Linked DNA regions of Caenorhabditis elegans. The protein of the gene in region 1 interacts with the protein of each later gene in a pairwise test. Each region holds a gene or a part of one and is shown on either strand. Other genes may lie near its edges.

Region 1 (7,929 bases):
TGGTTTTCAAATTTTTTTTAAACTGAGAATTATTGAGAATATGGAGTTTCAATTGTGCACAGGTTTTCAAATTATTTTAAACTGACAATCATGGAAATAATGGAGTTTCAATTGTGCACTGGTTTTCAAATTTTTTTAAACTGAGAATCATGGAAATAATGGAGTTTCAATTGTGCACTGGTTTTCAAATTTTTTTTAAACTGAGAATTATTGAGAATATGGAGTTTCAATTGTGCACAGGTTTTCAAATTTTTTTAAACTGAGAATCATGGAAATAATGGAGTTTCAATTGTGCACTGGTTTTCAATTTTTTTTAAACTGAGAATTATTGAGAATATGGAGTTTGAATTGTGCACTGGTTTTCAAATTTTTTTAAACTGAGAATTATGGAGATTAGACAATTTTTGAAACGTGAATGGAAAATACCGCTACAGTAACCAAACTTTAATTTAGAAACTTTATTTACTGTAGGCCAATAATAACACTCTAGTTATCTGTCCACCTATTTTGAACTTGATCATGCTCAAATCACACGCGACAAATCATATTTTTCTATCACAATAATCAGTTGTTTCGAAACTTTCTTATCGTCAAAACTTTGCATCACTCATGGCTTGATAGTATGTGTTTGTGGAGAGAGGGAAAAGTTAAAAAGGGATAGTAGTTATACATTTTCTGTGTCAAAAATTTGGTTTGTGACTGTTCGGGCAGATATAAAAATGAAAGAAAATTATGGTGGATATCTCATTTTTTGAGAATTGGAAGCTTTATAAATTCAGCATTTTCAACGTCTGAAAAATGATTTTCGAGCTCATCCTAATTTCAATTGTTACCTACTATTTCTGGCATTGGACTTTCTGGAAGCGACGTGGATTGCCAGGCCCTTGGGGAGTTCCGATTTTCGGAAAAGCTGGAGCTATGCTGGAGGATAGTTTCCCACCGGGTTACACTCTTCAAAAATGGACAAAGGAATATGGAAAAATTTATGGATTCACTGAAGGAATGCAGAAAGTCATGGTGATTTCAGATCCTGATTTGGTTCAGGAAATCCTTGTGAAACAGTACGATAATTTTTATGGAAGAAAGCATAATCCAGTTCAAGGAGATCCAGATAAGGATAAGGATATTCATATTGTTGGAGCTCAAGGTTTTAGGTAAGGAGACCACTTCAGACGTGCTGGCTTGCCTGCCACTCGCATATTTTAATTGATAACTTTCAGATGGAAACGTCTCCGAACAATCACGGCACCTGCATTTTCAAATGGCAGTATCAAAAAAGTATTGACTACAATGGAAGATAGCACACAGGAGCTTATGAAAAAATTAAGAGAAGAATCAGAGAATGGAAAAGCAGTCAATATGCATCTGTAAGTTGTTCATAGCGGTCTAATTAAGGTGTTTTACTGTTAAATTTTAGTTTCTACCAGGAGTACACCTTTGACGTGATCTCCAGAGTTGCCATGGGACAACCCGACTCCCAAATGTTTAAAAATCCATTATTAAAGGATGTTAAAGGGGTAGGTTCATCTCCTTTGTTGGATTGATTTTTAATTTTAAAAGTTTAACAAAAATGTATTTTTACAGTTCTTCGAGCACAACCGCTGGCAGATCTGGATGTTCAGTGGAGGATTTCCATTTGCTGTGTCTTTTCTCAAATGGTTGTTCATTAAAGTAGGCAAGTTCGGAGCTGGTCCCTTTATTGTCGTGCAAAAATCGGTAACGGACGCAGTGATGTCCCGGATTGCTCAACGAGAAGCCGATAAGAAACATGGAGTTGAGCCAGGAGAGGCCGCTGATTATATTGATATGTTTTTGAATGCAAGAGCCGAAGTTGAACATTTTGGTGAAAGCAATGACGAATTCCATAAATCATCCTCCTATGTAAGCTTGAAATTAACATAGTGATTTTTATAAATTCCTTCAATTTCAGAATAACCGACAACTGACCACTCAAGAAATCATTAGCCAGTGCTTTGTATTTTTAGTTGCTGGATTTGATACTACAGCCATTTCCCTTTCCTATGTTACATACTTCTTGGCATTGAATCCAAAAATTCAGAGCAAGTTACAAGACGAAGTAGACAAAGAATGTCCAAATGATGAGATCACATTTGATCAGCTTTCAAAATTGAAATATATGGATAATGTGATCAAGGAGTCATTAAGATTGTTCCCATTTGCTTCTTTGTGAGTTTCCAATGTTTACTTACAAATTAAATATATTTTACTTTCAGTGCAAACTCCCGCCGATGCATGAGAAATACGGTTATCGGAGAGCAAATTGTAGAAGCTGGTGTTGATGTGATGATCGACACCTGGACTCTTCACCATGACAAAAATGTATGGGGAAATGACGTAGAAGAGTTCAAGCCTGAAAGGTAAGATATTTTCGATGCGTACTTTAAGAAAGATTTTTCAAGAGCGTAGTGACGTCTATCAAGATTCTATGAAAAAGTAATTTAAAAATATTTTTAGATGGGACTCTCCATTAACTCCTCAACAAGCATACCTCTCATTTGGTGCTGGACCCAGAGTATGTCTCGGAATGCGGTTTGCACTTTTGGAGCAGAAAGGATTATTGTCACATATACTCAAAAAATATACTTTCGAGACAAATGCGAAGACACAGCTTCCGATTAAATTAGTAGGCCGAGCAACTGCAAGGCCTGAAAACTTGTTCTTGTCATTGAAGCCGAGAGTTTGATTATAATATACCTTTCCTAATCCCTCCATGTTGTTTTAACTTTCTTCAACTTAATACAAATAGCTTTAAATTTAATTTTTTAAGTAACTGACATAGAAGTTTGTGCTTTTAAATACGTGAACATACAAATTTATTGGGTAAATATATAAACAAAGACAACAATCCGTACAAAACACATTTCAAAACCTGGATTTAAGTTTGAGCAGCACACTTGATGGCGCAATAGTAGCAGTTCCGACTAACTTCAATGGAATCACAGTTTCTGGTGTGGTTTCAAATGTATAGTTTTTCAAAATATTGGTCAAAAGCATTTTCATTTCCATCATAGCCAATCGCATACCAATACAAATTCTTGGTCCCATGCCGAACGGAAGATATCCGCCTTTAGCAAAGAATAGTTCATCCCCGGACTCCCATCTGTAGAACATTTGATGAAATAAATAATTGTCAAATAAAACCAACCTTTCCGGCTTGAACTCGTTAACATCATCTCCCCAAACTTTCGGATCATGGTGAAGAGACCAGGTATCCACATTAATATTTGTTCCAGCTTCTATTTCCATTCCCAGAACATTTGTGGTTTTGAGACATTTTCGATTGTGAACACTGAATTATTTTTTAATTACAGAGAACAAACTACACCACGGCAAAACTTAGAAATTAAAAAAAAACTAACAGAGACGCCAATGGATACAATCTCAATGCTTCTTTCACAACACATTCCAAATATTTCAATTTCGACAGCTGATCAAAAGTGACTTCAGGGTCTGGACATTCTCTATCCACTTCTTCTTGTAATTTCTTCTGAATCTCTGGATGTGTTGCCAGGAGATATGAAGAATATGACAGAGAAAGGGCAGTCGTGTCGTATCCAGCTAACAAGAAAACAAACAGTTGTCCAATAATCTCATCAAATGTCAGATGCTTATCCACTTTCAAGACTTCACTTTTAGCAAAATCTTGTTCAGCTTCGCCTTCGAAAAAGTCTACAGTTGATCTAGCATCTAAAAACAAATCGATGAAATCTTGAGGCTCCCCAGATGGCTCAATTCCAGCCTTCTCATCAGCTTCCCTTTGTTCCAGTCGTTTGTTCAAAGCCTTCTCCAAAATACTTTGAATATCGGTAGCCATTTGAAGTGATGGAAATTTGGCAAAAATGTTGCGTAGAGCAATTCCAACGAAAGGAAATATTCCAGAGATCATAAAAACATTGTTTCGTCCTTCTTTGAAAATCTGAAAAATTTGAAATAAATTATTTAAAATCAAGTCATTCCACAAACCGTTTTGACTTTATCTAGCATTGGGTTTCTAAACATTAAGGATTTTTCTTGTCCCATTGCCATTTTTCCAATAATATCCATTGTGAATTCTTGGTAATATCTTTAAAAAAGTTAATTGTCTAAACAGTTCCAAACTTTTTATTTTGAAACATACTCTAGCATGTCAAGAGTTTTTCCTTCCGCACTTGCTTTCTCTAATGATCTGACCAACTCCGTAACACTTTCTTCTACAGTACCCATAATCTTTCTTAGACTTTTATTCGAAAAAGTAGGAGAAGCTAAAGTTCTCAATCGCTTCCATCTATGGCCTTGAGCAGCAACAAGTGGTACTCTCTTGTTTTTATTTGGATCTCCTTGAATTGCAGTTAATTTTCTCCCGTAGAAATTATCAAATTGTTTTACAAAAACTTCATGTACAAATTCTGGATCCGAAATTACCAACGTCTTTTCAACACCTTCCGTAATTCCATAAACAGGTCCGTATTTCTGAAATATTAAACATTACTTAATGATTAATGTAAAATAAATAAATTCATTCTACCTTTGTCCATTCGCTGAACTTCAAAGCTCCAGGGTTCTCATAGTTTGTGAACTTGTGAATAACTCCGAGAAATGGTAGACCTCTAGGCCCTTTGACTCCTTTTCGAATCCAGAATGACCAAATCCATAAATAATAGGAAATTATTCCAACAAATATTGCAATAGCTATGAGTATACTGAAACTCATGTCTAGTTTCAAAAAAAATTAAATTAAATTAAATTGTGTAATATGTGGCATTATTTATATACTTTTTTGTCGATCATCTGTTAAGTTAGTTTTTAGTCTTATCTTCTTGTCGCACAAAACATTATGGTTTGTGTTTAATAGAACAAGAAAGTGGGTGACAAGAATCGTATGATTTGGAGAAACCCAGCAATCAAGAAGATTTTGTTTCAAAATTCGTAGTCTGGATACTTTAGAATGTATTCTCAATTTTCGAATAAAGTTTAGAGGATGTTTTTTCAAACTTTTATCAATTTTTGAAAACTATCTGATGGTTTTATAATTATTACAGTCACATATTTGTAGCTTGTGAATCTAAACCTATTATGTATATTCTCGTTTTAAAAAAATTAATTGCCGAAAAAAAGCAAAAAATTTTAATCTTACGAAAAAAAGTTTTTTTTTTGGATTTATCAGCTTCAGTGCTCATTTTCATCCCTAACTTTCTTTCAAGAAATTTTAGATATGAAGAACAATTTTAAAATTCTAGATCAACCAAATCTCTGAAACAAAACTAGTTTTCTATTGTTTCTACATATTGATATTTTTTTTAAACTCCATTATCATTTTTAATTTTTTAAAAAGTTTTCTAACTACCATCTGCTCTCCATCACCTCTTTATGTTTTTTGCATTTGAGCAGTGAAAAGTTTGAAGAATATTGGTACAACTTTTATACCTTCCAAAAAGTGCTTGCCCCATTCTCTATGTTCTCTTATCAGTACACTATATCTCAACAGTCGACACATTTGTGTGGAAAAGTGTTGTTTGTGTCTGACTGTTGTTTCTACCACCGATACTATTTATAAGGTGGTCTACCGAAAAACATCAATACGTTTCTTTTTTATTCCTGAAAATAAAAACATGATTTTCGTTTTATTATCTGCAGTTCTACTAGGAGTATTCACATACTCCGTATGGATCTGGTCATATTTTATTCGAAAGGGCATAAAAGGTCCACGTGGATTCCCTGGAATTGGAATGTTGATTCAGACCATCGATCATGAGAATCCACCGTTTTTAAAGTACAGGGATTGGACTAAAGTGCGTTGTTTTTTTTTTAATTTAGAAACCTTTTCGCATTTCTGCTAGTTTCAAAAATTTCAAAAACTTTTAAATTTCAATGAAAACTAATAAAATAAACTTTCAGCAATATGGTCCTGTTTACGGTTTCACAGAAGGACCCCAACAAACTATGATAATCTCGGAACCAGAGATGGTCAATGAAATATTCAAAAAACAATTCGACAATTTCTATGGTCGAAAGTTGCGTCCAATCATTGGTGATCCTGAAAAAGACAAACGAGTCAATATTTTCTCGACTCAAGGAAAACGTTGGAAACGTCTTCGGACACTGTCAAGTCCATCTTTTTCCAATAACAGTCTTCGAAAAGTGAGGAACTCTGTTCAAGAATGTGGAACTGAAATTTTATGGAATATTGAGCAGAAAGTGAGGAAGAACGAAGATATTGATATGTTAATGTGAGTGGTAATTTTGTAAGTGATTAAGTTTTATGATAAAAATTCAGAGTCTATCAAGAGTACACTCTGGGAGTAATTAGTCGCATTGCTCTTGGCCAGTCTGAATCGAACATGTTCAAGAACCCATTGCTGCCAAAAGTTCAAGCCGTATGTTTATAATATTCTGAAGAAGAATAGCAAGTGTTTTCAGATTTTCAACGGTTCCTGGCATGTGTTCCTTATCACTGGAATCTTTCCTCCGCTCGCAGGAGTTTTCAGAAAAATGTCAAAAATGCTACCAGCAAGTTTCATTCCAGCCTTCAAAATTTTCGATTTAATAGAAGTAGCTGTACAGGCAAGAATTGATCAGCGAGCTAAAGATGAGATAAAAGGAGTTGAGCCAGGAGAACCTCAGGATTTTATTGATTTATTCCTTGATGCCCGAGTTCCAGACGTGAAAATATTGAGCGGAGAGGCGAATGAAGATTTTGCAAAATCGAGCGTTGTAAAAATCAACAAGGAGTTGACTTTCGATGAGATTATTGCACAGTGTTTCGTATTTTTAGCTGCTGGCTTTGACACAACTGCATTATCTCTCTCATATGCTACATATCTTCTTGCAACACATCCAGAAATCCAAACAAAATTACAAGAAGAAGTGGACAGAGAGTGTCCAGATCCCGAAATCTTCTTTGATCATTTATCGAAACTGAAATATTTGGAGTGTGTAATGAAAGAAACGTTGAGATTATATCCATTAGGAACGACGTAAGTTGACAAGACTATTTTTGGCTTAAAATTAAAAAAAAGTGAGAACAATATAATCTTACAGAGCAAACACGAGAAAATGTATGCGAGAGACAACAATCAACGGGGTGAATTTTGATGAGGGAATGAACATTCAAGTTGACACATGGACACTACATCACAATCCAAGAATTTGGGGAGAAGACGTAGAAGACTTCAAACCCGAAAGGTAATCTTAGTGATCTTGTTTTCATCACAATCTTCTATATTACAGGTGGGAAAACGGAGCTTGTGAGCATTTGGAGCACAATGGATCGTACATTCCATTTGGCTCGGGACCACGTCAGTGCATTGGAATGAGACTAGCTCAAATGGAGCAGAAGATTTTATTGGCTCAGATTCTCAAAGAATACTCATTCAGAACAACAAAAAATACACAGATTCCGGTGAAGTTGGTAGGAAAGTTGACACTTTCGCCGGAAAGTGTAATTGTGAAATTGGAGCCGAGAGATTCATAATTTTTTGTAATTTTACATGTATAAAAATTGTCTAATTAATATTTATTTTACTGATATGTTTTAATTGAAAAATAGCCATAAATAAATCAAAATAAAATCAAACATAATTTTATATTGAACATTTAATATTGAAAACAGTTAAACAAACTGATAGTTTACAAAAAAATGGTTTACAAAAAAATGAAAAAAAAAATGTTGTTGTCTTTGGAGTATAGAACATTATTCTACTTGAACAACTTCAAAAAACTCTAACAATAAATATCATAAATGAATTACCTAGCTAATCAATCATCATCTAAACACTATCTTGTTTCACTTCTGTCCAATTCCAAGTCACAAATTTTCCGTCATTCATTTCCCATTTTTCAAACACAAATCATAGTGACTTGTTGCGCCGAGAAACACCCGAGTGAGTAAGCAAGTCAAATGATTTTTGTGACCACGGCCTTGGTAAATAT
Region 2 (7,766 bases), on another chromosome or scaffold:
TAAGAATACTCTACAACAACCACCCCCATTTTCCTTGTTTTATTCTATTCACGGGGCGGTGTACGGGGTGACCACTAAGTGAATTACTAGTATTATATCAAAAGTCGGAGTTTGAGTTTTTTTCACCTGCCGATAGAATTCGCCGAATTCTTTTTGATATGAATGTTTTATCAAATTGTCATGTGACGGAATTTCCTGATTCAACAATATAAACTTTTAGTGTTGAATATTGTTTTTCTAAATCCAGGCAGTTTTTAGACATTGCAGTTAATGAACTTCTGGCTTTTGATGGGATAGTGAGCAGAAGTTACTGTGGAGATAGGATCTAGGTACTGTAGTACGGTAAAGGTACTGTATACTGTAGGGTTACTGTAGGAATACTGTAGTCTCGGGAAGGGGATCGCGCCGGAGTTGTGAGAATATAAGACAAAAGTTAGAAAAAAAAATTAAATCCAAGAAAGCTCAAAAAGCCAAGATCTGGGCGGAGCCTATTTTCAAAGTATTATTGTGATCAGCCATTCTATCTTTTTTCAATTGTTCATGTCTACAGTCAAACAGATAATCTAAATTTTAGGTAGGTTCAAAACGGAAAAAAGTGCAACGTGCGGAATTCCCTAAATAGGCTCCTCCCATTTCTTTGTTTTACTGTTTTTCATCGATTTTCACTTATAAAACGGAACTTTCTTCTACCCAAATACACATTATTCTCAATTCATCATCTCTCTTGATGTCCATAAACTTCACTCGTATTGGTCAGTTTTTCAGACACCACTTTCAGCCGGTCATGCTCGAGCGCCGATGACCGTCGGCGTCTCAATTCTTCTTGTCATTGTAATTCTGTGTCGTGACAGTCATCAGATGTGGTGCCTTGACGGTTCAGATTGTGCGATATCTAATACATGCTCATTGTGCGAAGGAGCAGCTTGTCTTCGAGTTCAGAGGTTGGAAGATCTCAAATTTTTAACCTTCCATCCAAATGGAAAACTATTTTTTTAACCAAAAATAAATTTAAATAAATAACCTTACAAAACCTTGACTTAAAATCAATTTCTATATTTGAATAGTTCCAAACTTAATTTTCAGAAACCATCTAAACAGAGTCTCAATTGCTCTCACTTGCCTTCCTCACGATACACTTATTCACACATACTATCCAGAAGGTTGCAAAAGGATATCGTTATCTGAGATAGCGTGTATGTGTTCGCACAGAGAATTCTGCAACACATCATCACGAACGACGATGCCGCTCAGTTTACTTGTATTATCTTCTTTCATTTTTCTAATTTTGTAATTTTCTATTATGAATTAATAAAATAAATGAATAAAACCGAAAATTCATAATTTGAGATGAAAAATTTAAAGAAAATAAATTAAACAAGGAATCAATCCAGATACTTAGCCATGAGTTCTTGCTTCTTTTGTTCCAAAAGCATTTCTTCAATGTCTTGTTGAGTTGGCAGTAGAACATGACGAATAGTCATTGGTCGTCCATCCTCTCCGATGACTGTAGACTCTTGAGTTTCCAGGTCGTCGTCATCGTCTTCTTCGACCTTATAGATATTTTCAGGTGCTGCATCGGAAGCAGTTTGTTGCTTTTGAGCTTGTTTCTCGGCAAACTCCTTATTGATTCGTTCAATGTTTTTCTCTTCAATTAGTTTTTCCAAAGGAATTAAGCGACCATCTTCGTCATCCAAGTAACCAAAATAGTGAGCGTCGATATTTCTCAATAAATCAGCACGATGGCGTCGTTGTTCTTCACCTTCTGTGCTTTTTTCGAATAGTTCGCGTACACCGGGAAGATCTTTTGCAGCTCCAAAATATTTGTAACCTCGGGAATTGCCCGTTTCCCTCCCTATTGCATCGAGTTCTTTTTGTGCATACTTTCTGAAAATAATAATAAGAATAATATGTCTAATTGTCATTTTTCTTACCGATAGTCCGTACCACCCAACTCTCGAATACGTTGTTCCCAAGCATGTTTCAGTTTTATCAGTCGATTAACTTCGTCATTCAAGTCCCGAAGCTTGAATTCACCGAGACCAGGATTTTGGATAGCTGTGATCTTTTTCGAAGCATCTCGCACAATCTAAATAAAGTTCAAAATTACAGGTTTTCATACAAAATCTAACCTCTCGTCTGAATCGCTCAGCATCTGACAAATTCCTGCAATCTTTCACATCGTGGGGTCTTCTGGCAATAGGACCCTGCAATTAAAATTATCTTGATATTAATATTCAAAAAAAAAGAGTAAAATGAAAAGAAAAACTTACCCTCTCCTCTTCCTCCTTCATTCTTCGCCATCGTGCTAGCGCCGTCATAGCCTTTTCCGCATTTCGGGCCATTTTTAAAGCTCGAGTAAGTCTGAAACAATTAAATTTAATTGCGAAATTAAATAAAAAGATATAAAAGCAGAATCAAACAAAAATATAAAGTAAATTGAGCATTTTTGTTTCGAAAAAATAAATGTTTGAAAATGAAATTTTCTAAATAGAGCGCACTTTCGCGCAATAGCGGAGTATCGTTGTGCAGCAATTGGCGGTTATTCAAATTCAATATTTTACACCCTTCAATCATTGAGCAATTTTTAAAGTGTTTCTTTCTGATTGAAAACAAATCATAAATGTAAAAGCTTTATTACAAATAAGTTCATTTAATGTTGAAAAGACATAGCTCTTGAAGCGAATCTATTTCGTTTATCATCAGTTTTGGAATTTAAATCATTTGAGACTGGAACTGCAGTGAGTCCAAATGGAAGACTTTGCCGTCGAAGGAATACTTCTGGCTGATGTGCAGGTGGTTCACAAATTGATTCTTGTGGTGATTGCTCTCTGTCCTCCACTTCTAAAGAAAATTATGGTTTTAGTAGCTAATTTTGTCAAATACCAGGTTCAATTTCACTCAAAGCAGGAGCAGGTTGAAAATTAATCCTGCTCAGAATTGAATGACGATGTCGTGTATGACCTGTAGGTGTAGACGGAACAGTTAATGTCTTTTCTCCTTCATCTTTTGGTTGGTCCCCTTGAACTGAAGGTGGTGGAGCAAGTGCAGGAGGAATTGCTTGTCTACAATAATATAGAATTAAGACTAAATAAGGAAGTATTTCCTTGAGCTTTATGGTTAATCTTTCAGACGCTCTAAGCTCATAAAAAGTTGTTTTATTTGTGTCGGATGGGATATTTATTTTGAATATAATACTACTTCAGACATGTTGACTCACCGAAGATATCGAATAAAAGTGTGCCGAGACGCGTTGCTGTTTTTGGCATAAAATGGGCAACGATAGAACAATCCGGCAGAACATAGTGATAATATCAGAAAGAATACTGTAAACCAAAAGTTATCTTTTTTTTTCGAAAATGTGAATCCACCTATAAATGATCCATTTAAAGCGAAGAATCCAATTAACATAATCTGACTTGATGATAAAGCATCTCTACCATATCTGTATGAAGTGTGAGGTGTACGTGGCTGTAAAAATAAAATAAATGTTTCGAATCTCTGAAACCATTTCTTACAGTAATAAATGCACAAGTTGATTCATCTTCTCCGCAAGTATCCAATCCATCACATTCTAGACTCGAAGAAAAACAGTATTTGGAGCAATCTAGAAATCAGTAATGGTAAAACAGTTTTTGTGTGAAAAATGAGGTTACTGTAGCATAGGCTGTATTCTGGACATCTGATAGACTCATATGAAGAGCATTCCTTTGGATTTGAAAACAATAAAATCGATCGGAAATTCAGATTCATTGGAATTGTCAACCATACTGGAGTTTTCATTAATTGATAACCCTAAAATTTTAATAATTTCTCGTAACTGTTACGGTAATCTAACCTTTGGCTTGCTGTCCACAATGAACTGCATATCAGAGTTTCGTAATATAATTTCATTTGGATTCCGTGGTCTTCTATGGGAAAACATAAGGAAATTGGTAATGGAAACAAGTATAAGATTTCCATTTAGACTTTGAATTTCAATTTCACAAACTTCGGATGTTTCATCTTGCCCAACAGATAAGTAATCATCAGTTGTTATCATTAAAATATCATCGACGTATGCTCTGAAAACTTACGAATTCTCATGATCTCATTTTCTTAAAAATTGACTTCAAACATTAATCTTACTTTTTAAAAGGGCAATAAGCATTTGCTTCTATAGTTATGAAAAATAAAATAAATGTCAAATTGAGAAACATTTCGGAAATCTAAAAAAAAAAAGACGCATGGCAAGAAAACGAAAAGGTGGGTGAAGAAGTCATTGAGATTCAATATTTTTCATCAATTCGGAAAGAAAATGCATTCCGGATGCACATCATCTTCAATTCCCCACTCAAGTTCGTTTACCCTTTATTTTTAAATATAACACATAATTGAAAAATGCGGAAACGATTTTGATAATTGATAGTGAAACTGGGAAATTGGCTGATTGCACGATTTCACTGAAAGAATATCATGTTTTTTAATTCCACAATCATTCTTGCAAGATAATTGGTATTTTTCAAACGTTTTGAAACATTGAATTACCGTTTTGTTATTGAAATGTCTGTTAGCTTAATATTATGTTACACTGAAAATTAACATTGTTAAATTTCATTGGGCATTGCTGAATTCAGAGTAGCTTGTTTTTTAATGTTTTTTAAAAGTTTTCCATAGCTCGGAATATCGGAACAGCAGAACTTTTTATCGACGAGGTGCGAACAATGATCGAACTATTACGAGAACGGCAGTTTTTCGAGTTGACAATAATCTGAAATAGAATGCGACAGAAATCGATCGACATAGTATTTTGCTTGACGTCTGGCAATCATTACAATACAAGGTTTCTGAAAATAACCAATATGAGCGTTTTGTATTCTGCTTCCAGAAAAAAAAACCTGTCGGGGTGGCATACTACAAAATAATGTGTACTGACATGAATTCCCGAGACCGAACTAGGACGCGATACGCTGACTACCCGTGGATATTCCAAATAGAAGATAAATCAACTTTTTATAGTGATCTGTAAAATTTTGGATGTCAACCAGTGCTGTGCGGCTCTCGGCTCTCTGCGCGAGCCGAGAGCCGCATAGAATGATGGGACTCGGCTCTTGGCGCCCGCCAAGAGCCGAAAAATTGGGATTTTTGCCGAAAATTAGGTGTTTTTCAGCTCTCGACGCGAGCCGAGAGCCGGCATTTTGGACCTTTTTCGGCTTTTGGTGAGAGCCGAGAGCCGAAAAAAAATTTCGACTCGGCTCTCGGCGCGAGCCGAGAGCCGACTTTTTCAAGAGCCGCACAGCACTGATGTAAACCTTCAAAAAACATCTTTGACCTGATTTTCCAAAAATATTTTACATTTCGGAGCTGATTAAAATGAACACTTCTTGTAAACGTGTTTTCAGATTTTTCATAATTCGTGGCCTAATAAACATCGCAATCTCATTTCTCGGAAGTAATATTTTCCTACAGTATGATTTTTGGAAAAACACTGACGTTACATTTTTTAGATTGCCACGCTTTCAATATGTCTAATGAGAAGGAAAAACTCTATAAATGTTTGCTCCTAAGCTGATATCTAAAATCACATCTTGTGAGTTTTATTATTTTCTGCCTATTATCAGTTCTGTAGTCATGACACACTGATCAACAGAAAGTAGGTTGAGCATAAGCCTCATTGCACTTTCATCAATGATCGAACATAATTAAGTTGTTGCAGATGTACTATTCCGGTTCTTTTTTGCAAGATCAGTGTCTTCGCCAAACTGAAACTTGTACATGATCAATAGAAAATTCCTCTTGCATTTCAGATTCGTCACTTGATGTGTTCCCGCAAAAGACGTAAAAGTTGGTTGGTTATCCAGAAAATATACAATTGCAAACTGGATATATTTTAATAAAATCTGCTGTCGTCATAATCTTATCAATAGTTTCCAAATTAGATATTTGTAATTCCTTACCTTTTTAATGGTGTGCGGGGATTATTTGCATATACTTTGTACAAATCCCTTCAAATGTCATTATCAGTCCATTTCAATCCGCACTAATGGTTAGCCATGGCTTATATTCTATTTCGAGAGAATAAGTGTGGGAAACTTTGGATCACTTTTTTCTATTTTCGTTATGTTAACTTGATGTGGGAATCGGAAACATATTAATAGAAAAAAAACTAGCCGTTTGCACATTAATAATCAGAGAACGTTTTTTGTGTCCCATTAATAGATTTATGTTGAAAACGAAGGAAGAGTTTCAGTGATTTTTGATTTACGAGTTAAGTAATAAAAATAATTTTCCATTTTTCAAACTAAAGCTTGTAGACTTTTTGAAAACAATTCAAAATGTTTCAAATTTTGAAAAAAAAAGAAAATAACTTTAATAGATAATGTGTGGATGATAAACTTCAGATTGAAATTTCACAAGGCAGAAGTTGAGTTTGTTGTTTTTTTTTATTAATTTCAAGGGAGTTACGGCTCTGGGTTTTTATTATGAAGATTGAAAATGTGCTCAAACGATTGAAGTAATAGCTTGAAGTCAACTTCCAAAACATTTTATGAAGGCTCAAAGTTTTTAAGTTTTGGTTTTGCAGATTTTTGTTGTTTACATGGCATGGAATGTTCCTCTTAATTAATTTTAATGGTTGAATCTTTAAAAAGACATGTTGAGTCATCATAAAACTTTTTTGATAATTCATTGTGCAGTCTCGTTATAAAATTCTGCCGTTTTGTTGAATTTCGTACTACTGTTAAAAAATTTAATTTCAGATTTTTAAAGCAGATAATCGCTTAAGTTGCTCTCAAATTTCTAGAAAATTTGCTCCCCAAAAATAATAAAACCATAGAATTTTGCACATAAAAAATAAAGATGAAACGTTGATCAAATGTTAGTGATGTTTGGTAAAACTGAATGCACTAAAATTGCTACATTGGTCCCCTTGATGTTTCAATGATTTCGTATCAAAGTTTGCAAGTTGTCCAATGAATATGTTGTAACACAAACATTCTTAAATAAAACGTCATATTTTGTCTATTAGCTGAACATCTCAAAGGTTCCTCGAAAATCTTTAGGTCGAAATGATAGCACGTGACCTCTAACATTCTTTCATCACTTACTCATCATCATTCTTCATTCCATTCATTGTTGTCTCAACCCACTCATATACTTTTTTGACGCTTTTCTCTATCACTGTATGCCTATTTCTTAACTTAACCCCTCGTGTTCCATTAAATAGACAAATTACTCATTTCCGTTGTTTCCTTTTACTTTTAGTCAACTCGGAGAAAATGTTGAAATCTAGACAGAAGAACACTCAAATATTAATTATTAGTTGCTACAATAATTTGTCTTCTCAATCTCCAGTGTTGTTCATCATCATTTGCCACACTTGATAAACAATGACCGGAAAGATAATGTAGGGTGGTAAGAGTGACAAACAAAAACAAACACACTCAAAGGCTACTCAAGTTCCCTTTATCAATGATCGGCCAGCATTTCGGACAAAAAAGAGCAAGTACCACTTTTAATAAAAACCGGAAACACTTTTCACACTTCTTTGCATCTGAGGCATAAATTTTGAACATCCGGAGTAGAGCACAAATTTAAATTGTCTGGGAAACTACAAAGAGCAACGCACAAGAATGTTTCTGCATCCCTTGTAGAAATGACTTTCAATTCTTTGTGGACAAATTTTAAAAATCCAATGATCCAAAGTTTTCCACCCGTTTTCATCTCAAAACCAGAAAAACCTTTTTGTGCTAATCTTCTTGTTATCTTCGAAAATCAATTGTTCTAGAAAA

The links. The genes of interacting proteins can lie anywhere in the genome.
Region 2: the proteins of cyp-13A7 (region 1) and F53B7.4 interact in a two-hybrid assay, tested with the Caenorhabditis elegans proteins (one large-scale study listed by BioGRID).

Annotation. Positions count from the first base shown.
Region 1 is NC_003280.10:9,800,402-9,808,330, reverse strand, and holds cyp-13A7 (Putative cytochrome P450 CYP13A7), read right to left. Parts: upstream 4,712-7,929; coding exon 4,526-4,711; intron 4,471-4,525; coding exon 4,139-4,470; intron 4,085-4,138; coding exon 3,985-4,084; intron 3,938-3,984; coding exon 3,381-3,937; intron 3,311-3,380; coding exon 3,167-3,310; intron 3,122-3,166; coding exon 2,884-3,121; 3' UTR 2,818-2,883; downstream 1-2,817. Other genes in the region: cyp-13A8 (Putative cytochrome P450 CYP13A8), read left to right, coding at 799-1,154, 1,221-1,367, 1,418-1,517, 1,585-1,881, 1,931-2,187, 2,235-2,378, 2,476-2,704; cyp-13A6 (Putative cytochrome P450 CYP13A6), read left to right, coding at 5,610-5,789, 5,896-6,227, 6,275-6,374, 6,418-6,974, 7,039-7,182, 7,228-7,471. UniProt on the Caenorhabditis elegans protein: Cytochromes P450 are a group of heme-thiolate monooxygenases. They oxidize a variety of structurally unrelated compounds, including steroids, fatty acids, and xenobiotics.
Region 2 is NC_003283.11:10,998,339-11,006,104, forward strand, and holds F53B7.4 (Low-density lipoprotein receptor domain class A), read right to left. Parts: upstream 4,197-7,766; coding exon 4,126-4,196; intron 4,062-4,125; coding exon 3,836-4,061; intron 3,793-3,835; coding exon 3,654-3,792; intron 3,605-3,653; coding exon 3,516-3,604; intron 3,469-3,515; coding exon 3,369-3,468; intron 3,324-3,368; coding exon 3,218-3,323; intron 3,063-3,217; coding exon 2,884-3,062; intron 2,842-2,883; coding exon 2,651-2,841; 3' UTR 2,625-2,650; downstream 1-2,624. Other genes in the region: nssp-65 (Activin_recp domain-containing protein), read left to right, coding at 799-941, 1,084-1,291; Protein isy-1, read right to left, coding at 1,383-1,884, 1,932-2,086, 2,130-2,204, 2,271-2,342.